Oryzias latipes: one gene and its partner. The protein of the gene in region 1 purifies or fractionates together with the protein of each later gene. This does not show direct contact. Links are inferred from orthologs where the notes say so. Each region holds a gene or a part of one and is shown in the gene's direction. Other genes may lie near its edges. The genes, in order: card11 and mucosa-associated lymphoid tissue lymphoma translocation protein 1-like.

Evidence for each region.
Region 2: the proteins of card11 (region 1) and mucosa-associated lymphoid tissue lymphoma translocation protein 1-like purify together in Homo sapiens (affinity purification with western blotting; 6 studies listed by BioGRID and IntAct, with this or other methods). This does not show direct contact. The link is inferred for Oryzias latipes from reciprocal best matches to the Homo sapiens genes CARD11 and MALT1.

Annotation. Positions count from the first base shown.
Region 1 is NC_019866.2:18,997,581-19,001,403, reverse strand, and holds part of card11 (caspase recruitment domain-containing protein 11), read left to right. Parts: intron 1-1,093; coding exon 1,094-1,337; intron 1,338-1,453; coding exon 1,454-1,529; intron 1,530-1,724; coding exon 1,725-1,820; intron 1,821-1,903; coding exon 1,904-2,021; intron 2,022-3,823. UniProt on the Homo sapiens protein: Adapter protein that plays a key role in adaptive immune response by transducing the activation of NF-kappa-B downstream of T-cell receptor (TCR) and B-cell receptor (BCR) engagement.
Region 2 is NC_019867.2:1,792,891-1,797,279, reverse strand, and holds the start of mucosa-associated lymphoid tissue lymphoma translocation protein 1-like, read left to right. Parts: upstream 1-1,415; 5' UTR 1,416-1,525; coding exon 1,526-1,674; intron 1,675-1,838; coding exon 1,839-2,005; intron 2,006-2,926; coding exon 2,927-3,048; intron 3,049-3,144; coding exon 3,145-3,292; intron 3,293-4,029; coding exon 4,030-4,208; intron 4,209-4,283; coding exon 4,284-4,380; intron 4,381-4,389. UniProt on the Homo sapiens protein: Protease that enhances BCL10-induced activation: acts via formation of CBM complexes that channel adaptive and innate immune signaling downstream of CARD domain-containing proteins (CARD9, CARD11 and CARD14) to activate NF-kappa-B and MAP kinase p38 pathways which stimulate expression of genes encoding pro-inflammatory cytokines and chemokines.

The DNA of each region.
Region 1 (3,823 bases):
GTAAAAGCTCATTTAAAGAAACACTCTGATGAAAATGGTGTTTTTAACATGTTTTTGTGGCATTTCTCTTATCATCATATATACACATATGTATGTATGTGTATGTGTGTATATATATATATATATAAAATAAGCTTAAAATGGCATTTCTGAGTATTTCTTTTTTCAATTTTATGTCAATAGGGGGCAGATGAAAATGAGCAGAGCCTATTTGTGTCGTAGAAAATATGCTGGATGGGTCATAAGCTTCGTTCTGATGCATCCACTTGTAGACAATCACTTACATGTTTGTCTTTGTTTTCCTTGTCTGAGCTGGAATCTGGCTCAAAACTGTACGGCTGCATAGCTCCAATACTGCTTACCATTTTTGTTGCACCGGTAATGTTATGTTGGGGCTGTAAGCTAGCAGGAGCGCATGTAAACAGAGAGCTCTCAGTAATGGGGAAGGGAAGGGGGCGGGGTTGCTCCATGCCATTTTTCCTGCCCACAACGCAATGGTAAATTTCTAATGTTTGCAGAATTATGTCCTAGAAAACAAGACAAGTTTTTTGTTTTTGGCTAAAAGTGGCATAATCAAAATGAAAAGACCACTGGGAACAGTTGGAAAATAGATCAAAAGATGATCGGAGTGCATCTTTGAACTGTGTCACAGAAAACAGGAAATACGGATCTCTGTTAATTTGCAAGTGAACCCTGATGTGGTCACCACAGTAAAGATACAATGGACTGTTCTGTGGGTTAAAGAGAGGAAGTAAACTTATTGAAATCACAAAAGTGGCTTCAAATTTTAGGCGAAAATAAAATGATCCACAGCTAAGATATGAAGGAGTGTGGATCACTACAGTTGGATAAATGGCTAGTTTGTGGATGAGGATAATATAGACAGGAAATGGGTTTAAAAAATACTTTAATAGGATGTATAGTTTAACTTAAACTGCGTGATATTTTGATTCCATCTAGACTTATTCAGTTTTCTAAACTTTAGTGTGAAAGCAAATCAAACCATTTATTTTTTTCTGAACTTCCAGTCAAATCTAGTCTTCTGGTCTGTCTTGTTTTAAAAGTGCGTTAATGCTGTGTTTCTGCTCTCCAGCATATCGCCGTCTCCAGAGGGATCTAGCAGATGGTAAATTAGCTTCTGGCGACTCTTTCTACATCCGAGTAAACCTCAACATCTCCGGACAATCCGACTGCTGCTCTTTAAGCGTGCGCTGCGATGAAGTTGTGCACGTGCTGGATACCAGGCACCAGGGCCTCTGCCAGTGGCTTTGTGCTCGTGTGGAGCCATTTAGTGGCTCTGACCTGGCCGAGCGTGGCACCATTCCCAGCAACTCAAGGTACTTTGCAACTGTTTGTTTAATGTTCTTTCTCATGCAGGAGGATGTTTTATAATGGACAAAAGGAGTTTTGGTTTTGTTAAGACTTTTCTCTTGGTATGAATGGGTGTGTACAGAGCACAGCAGCTGCTGCTGGTGAAGATTCAAAAGTTGGTGTGTCGAAGTGGGAAAGAAGAAATTGACAATAGCAGAGTAAGTGAAAACTTGATTTTATATTCAAGCTACATATTACACAAAACAATTGTATAGTTTTTCATATCAATGCTATTTGATTTCAGCAGACACTTAGTAAGTTAGCTTCGATTTGGGTCAAACACTGTGTCTTCTTTACCTTTTGCAGCTTAAAGATTCTGATATTCTTTCTATTAATTCTTTATGTTTGTCTAGAACACTTTAGCGCCAGAAGAAACAAGCTCGTCTCTCGATCCCAAAGCCAGTCCACGCTTGTCCAGAGCGAGCATTTTCCTCAGTCAGATTCTGCAGGTATTTAAAGAAAACCAATCCCACTCTCATGAGTCAATCTGAGCCCTGATGTGCCATTTCTTGTGGGTTTCTTGGGTTTCTAGTTCGTCGGCAGGGTGGACATCAAATACAAACGAATGAACAGCAATGAACGCGTGAGGATTGTCAACTCTGGCAGCTCATTACTACCAAGACAAGAACTGGAGATGCTCAGGCCTGAAGGTGAGCATAGAAACAATGCTTTTCATGGATGTAAGGGGAATGACGGACCTTGGTTTGATTTTAGGACTAGGGATGCCACGATTCTCAGATAAATCATTGCATTCCTGTTTAGGACCTACTAGGACATAAAAAAATCAAAATCAAAAGTCTGGAACCACAAAGCCTAGCATAAATTCAGATATTCAGATATTTATGTCAAACTGAGAGAAGCTTAAAGGGAAATAAATATATTCTTCTTCTTACTGTTTGATGGTCAAGATTTCTTTAATAATTTATTTTAAGGTGGCAACTATGTTGTATTTATAGACTAATTCATATATTAACGGAACCAATTGTCTCTGATGTTACCTGTAGGATTCTAAATGATGAACATGAATGCCTAACCCTTGTGCTATCCTATGACCCCACCCTTACATTGACGTGTTCTCCCTACCATGACAAAGGTGGATAACGGTGAAGAGGATTTCATGTAATCCATGGACACCAGTGAAGTTTACAAATCATTGAAGAAAAAAGTTCAGGGGTCTAGATGACCCAACTTCCAATGTTAAAGTGCCTAGGATAGCACAAGGGCTAAAAAAGTGGCATGAACATACAGAGTAACTCCTATTCACTCAACAATTGGAGAACTGTCAATCAAGAAAGACCATAGAGATTCTGTTTTTTTTAGGCCACCCAAGACTGCAACCTTCACCCAATCACCCAATCTGCCTTGATTTCTTATAATTGAAAGATAATCCCCTCCCTCCCTGCTGCCCCTAGAGCTGCAAATAAAAGCACCAAATATTAAGAAGTGTTTTTTGACCAGGCAGAGCACAAGTGTATTTTTTGTGTGTTATTCTGCTCTGAACCTTATTTAACACAGTGGTTTACTGGAAGGTTTTGAAACCTGCCTCTGGTGGTTCTTTGAGGAACTGCAGAAGTAGCCACTTCCTAGTTTGATTAAAGTTCTCAGAAAATCTGTTTTTATTTTGTAACATCAGTATTACTTACATCTACCATATAACATTTTTCTGAAGGCTGACTAGAAATATTTATGTTAAGCTTTTGTTAAGCTGTGTTATTGTTTTATTAATTCATGGCTGATGCTCTGTAGGCTGATGAATTCATTAGAAAGACAAAGGAGAAAAACTCTTATCAAATTAGTGAAAAATAGATGGATCTCTCCAGGAGGCAGAAAAAGTTTTAGATGACAAAGAAAAAATGAAAGCTTTGTTTGTGTGGGAGTTAAGACTTGTGCTCTAAAAAACCAGAGGATCACACATAGAAAATGAAAGATTTCTAAAAATAAAATGTGAGAGCTAGAAGGGGGTTGAAGTCTCGGTGGAGGTAGAAGAAAGCTGTTTGAAGAATAAGATGAAAGCAAAGCAAAAATGTCTTTTGAAGTAAACAGAGCAAGAGTGTTTGAAATGTTAAAAAAATTACATTTACTGGTAGACTGTAATGTCTTTACCATTGCTTTGATTACCAAACGAAATAACAAAAGAGCAAAATGTATGAAAAAAATAAAACCTCAAGTTATAACAAATGAAACCAAACCAGGTAGAAAACAGGTTTCCCTCTTTTACAGGGCCATGCTTTTCTTAAGCCTTTTGTAGGAAAAAATATCTATGTACTGGATATGGTAATACATTACCTTTGGAACTCATAATAACATTTTTTATATTAAATATTAGTTATTTTCCTGAGCTTTTTTCCAATCCGGAAGTAAAACAACTCAATATCTGAGGTTGCGCCTTTCGCTCCATGTGGGTGCCGCCCATTTCTTGATGTCATCCTAGAGCCGGCCTCCGCAGCGTGTC
Region 2 (4,389 bases), on another chromosome or scaffold:
TCATTTCTGTAAGTGATATTCTTGATTTAAATGGAGAAATTCTTCAGTTAAGAGACTTCAAAAGTAAATATGATATTGAATGCAAAACCAAGGAATATTAGAAAACCTGCAGAGCAATTCCAATTGCTTTAATACACGTAATAAAAAATACAAAATTGTCTTCCTATGTTCAAATTAAACTACCAAATTTAGTAATAGGAGAAATAAAACTAAGTGAAAAAAATGATAATAAATGATAATAAATACCTAAACAAATCCTTTAAAGGTAAATTGTACCATGACTTTAATAAAAAAGTGAAATATAAAATAACTGAGACACCTGTCACATCAGGTTCTAAACTATGGAAATTCATAAAATGGCCAATGGTCCCCAAAATTCAAGAAACGTGTTTCAAAATCATAGACAATTATTACCCATCGGCAGAGACGTTGAGGAGTGGATTTGGCTTTGAGGTTGATCCGTGTGATTTCTGTCACGAGCCCCAGAAACAACCAAACAGCTGTTTTTTTCATGTCCAGTGATCATAAAGATTCTGGCAAGATTTCCATAACTGGCTTAGTCAAGAAATTTAAAACATACAATTCACAGAAAAATATATTTTGTTTTATGACAGTAAGTTGCCAAAAGAGACAACAAAATTAGTGAACATCCTCCTGATTTTGGGAAAATATCATATTCATAAGAAAAGTGGAGAAAAGATCGTCTGAATTTCCTGTGTTTTAAAAATGAAGTCAGACTGTTTTTATCATCATTGAAATGTATTCCCAACTCAAATCCATTCATTGATGACATTTGTAAATCTGCTACAGAATGGTTACAAATCTAGGGTCCAGATTGTTGTTTGCCTTGTATTTTAATTTATGCTGAAAGTTTTTTATATTTTTTATATATGTGTACATTCTTGTTTTGTTATAGTTTTTTATCTTTGTTTTTGTGAAGAGCTGTGACTTGCATTTTTGCGTGGTTGTGTCTGTTAGAGTTTTGTAATGATTATGTTTAAATAATTTAAAAAAATAAACTAACAAAAACTGTTCTGTTGTTGACGGACTTTCGGCTAAAACCTTTGACTGATGCTATAACAAATGAACGCATGAAAATGACGTAATGGAGGCGGAGACTGTCTACGTCACAACAAAACTACCCAATCTAACTGAAGACAAAAGATTGTATATGTATTATGAAGACACACTCCATCCATGTTATCTTGTGACACACATAAGTTTACAGTTATTAATTTTGGGTCTCGTGTTTTTTTATTTTAGTTACTTTGTTGTTTTTTATTTGAACATCTGATATTTATAACATTTTTGCATCAGGACATGGGTTTATTTTGGGTTTTTATCCATAGAGTAATGCATCTTTACACATAGAGGATCTTTGGCAAAGAGCAGCCGGGGAAACCTAAGGTGGAGTGGGCGTGTCTCTGTATGTCTGAATTTCAAGGAAGTTGTCGTTCTCGCGGCCGGCGGTGGTTGTTGTTCACGGTCGCCGGCGCGGAGAAAAGGCCGGTGGGGAAGAACCACCATGTCCGACGCCTGGGACAGATCTACAAAGATCTCCTCTCTGAAAGAAACTGTTCTGAGGAAACTTTGCGAAGTTCTGGACAAATCAAGCGTCAGAGGATGGAGACGGCTCGGGGAGATCGTCAACAACGACAGACGCTTTGAAGTCAGGTACGTTCACGCATCGTCTTCCGTTCTCGGGTTAACAGACAAACTTTGAGGCTTTGGGTCCTGAAAAAGTTCAGGAAAGTCCTACCAAGTTCTGAAAAGCCTTTAACAAAGGAGAACAGCGCCATGTTTTGTGGTTCTACACGTTTGCGTTCTTTCTCCTGCAGCTCCGACCACATGGAGATGTGCTCCCTGAGGGTCCTGGAGGTGGGAGGGAGCCCCAGCCTCATGCTGCTGAGGCTGATGGGAGATCGAGGCTGCACCGTGGGTCATCTGAGCGACTACCTGCAGACTCTGGGGAACACGGAAGCCCTGCAGTGTCTGAAACCACAAGGTTGTCTGCTGTCACTCACGTGCTTAGCTGGAATTCAGACCTTTCTGATGTTGAATTATTCTGTCAAACATGAGTCATACACACACCTGCAGAAACACACACCTATACACACCTGCAAAAACACACCTGCACACACCTGGAGAAATACACACCTGCAAAACACGCACCTGCTAAAACATACACCTAAAGAAACACACACCTGTAAAAACACACACCTGCAGAAACACACACCTGCAGAAACACACTTGCAGAAACACACACCTATACACACCTGCAAAAACACACCTGCACACACACACCTGCAGAAACACACACTTGCAAAAACACACCTGCACAAACACACCTGCAAAAACACACACCTGCACAAACACACACCTGAAGAAACACACGCCTGCAAAAACACACCTGCAAAAACACACTTGCAAAAACACACACCTGCAGAAACACACACCTGCAAAAACACACGCATGCAAAAACACACCTGCACAAAGACACATGCAAAAACACACACCTGCAGAAACACACACCTGCACAAACACACCTGCAAAAACCCACCTGCAAAAACACACACCTGCAGAAACACACCTGCACAAATATAACTGCACAAACACACCTGCAAAAACACACCTGCAAAAACACACACCTGCAGAAACACACACCTGCACAAACACACACCTGCACAAACACCCCTGCACAAACACACCTGCAAAAACACACACCTGCAAAAACACACACCTGCACAAACACACCTGCACAAACACACACCTGCAAAAACACACACCTGCAGAAACACAGCTGCAGAAACACACTTGCAGAAACACACACCAATACACACAACTGCAGAAACCCACACCTGCAGATGCACACGCCTGCAGAAAGTTTTGCGGTTCTTCTGACCCGCCACGTTCTCCGCCCCCTCAGCCCTGCAGATCCTCCTGCAGCCTCAGTCCGTGGCTCTGCTGGTTGGACACAACCTTCGCCTCAGCTGCCTCGCCGTGGGGAAATCTGACGTGCAGTACCAGTGGTTCAAGTCCCGAGAGGAGGTTTGCTACCACACACACGGTTCCGGACTTCTCCCGGTTTTCCTGCGTCCGTGTGTGGATGACAGGCTGCAGACATTTCTTGCGTCTCCACCTCAGGTTCCTGGCAGCTGCTCTCCTGACCTGCTGATCAGCTCCGTCCAGCTGAAGGACGCCGGCTTCTACATCTGCAGGGTGAACGGCGAGGGCGCCTGTGAATTCAGCCAGTGGGCTCAGGTGGACGTCCTGAACGTCGGGGTGTCTTACGGTCAGACTTAGGGTTTCATTTCTGAGGAATTCACCTTAAAGCCCCCCGCCCCCCTCACTTTGTGATTCACTGTGGTTGTGTCCGAATTCCCACCCTAAATACTAAAAACACCATGTAGTGCCCTGGATTTTAAAAGCTATTGGGACACCACGCTCACTACGTGTTATTTTTTATAAATGGCAGATATGACATCATCGATTTCAAAAGGTTTAAACCTAACTGATATGAGTGTTTTGTGACGATTATTTATGGTTGTGTCGGAATTCCTCCCTACTTCACTCTATAGGGCGTTGTTCATTTTCCAAATCTACAATTCCAAAATCCAGAGCCCTAGAAATTTCCCAGAAGTCTCTGCAAAAAACCAGTGTGCATCGATGCTCACCAGATCTGTGAAAATAGACCACAATGCATTGCGTCGAAACAATTTTTTCCCCAAAAAGTATCATTAAATGTATTTTTTTTAATAAATCATCAACATTTTTATCAGACTCATAAATAATCATCGCAAAACACTGATATCAATTTGATTTGAAAGTCCTAAAATCGATGATGTCCTTTCCGTCCTTAAAGAACAAATTAGCGAGCGTGGTGTCAGAATTGCTTTTAAAATTCAGGGCACTAGATAGTTTTTTAGTAGTTAGGGGTTTGCATTTCTTACCTTTTGGTAAAACAGTTTTTTTTCTATGAGAGGAAAATTGGCTCAGAACCGAACTTCCCCTCTGCTCCGCCTCCTCCAGGGCAGAGCTACCACTCCCTGGACGGACGGTTGAAGCTGGTGGTCCAGCCGCAGTCGCAGACGCTGCACGCCGGGGAGAGCCTGCAGCTGGAGTGTGGCGCCGTGGGGCGGCCCATCCCTCGATACCAGTGGCACCGGAACGGAGTCCCGGTCCCGAACGCCACCAAGCGAAAGCTCTCGGTGACCTTTTCCCGTCTCCTCTTCCGAGTCGATCAGATTCCTCGGCTGTAGTTTAACCAGACGGCGTCGTTCCAGATCCCTCACGTGGCGCCGGATCACGCCGGCAGGTACCGCTGCGAGATCAGCAGCAGCAGAGAGAGGATGTGGACCAACGAGGTGGACGTCTCCATCGGTACGTAGG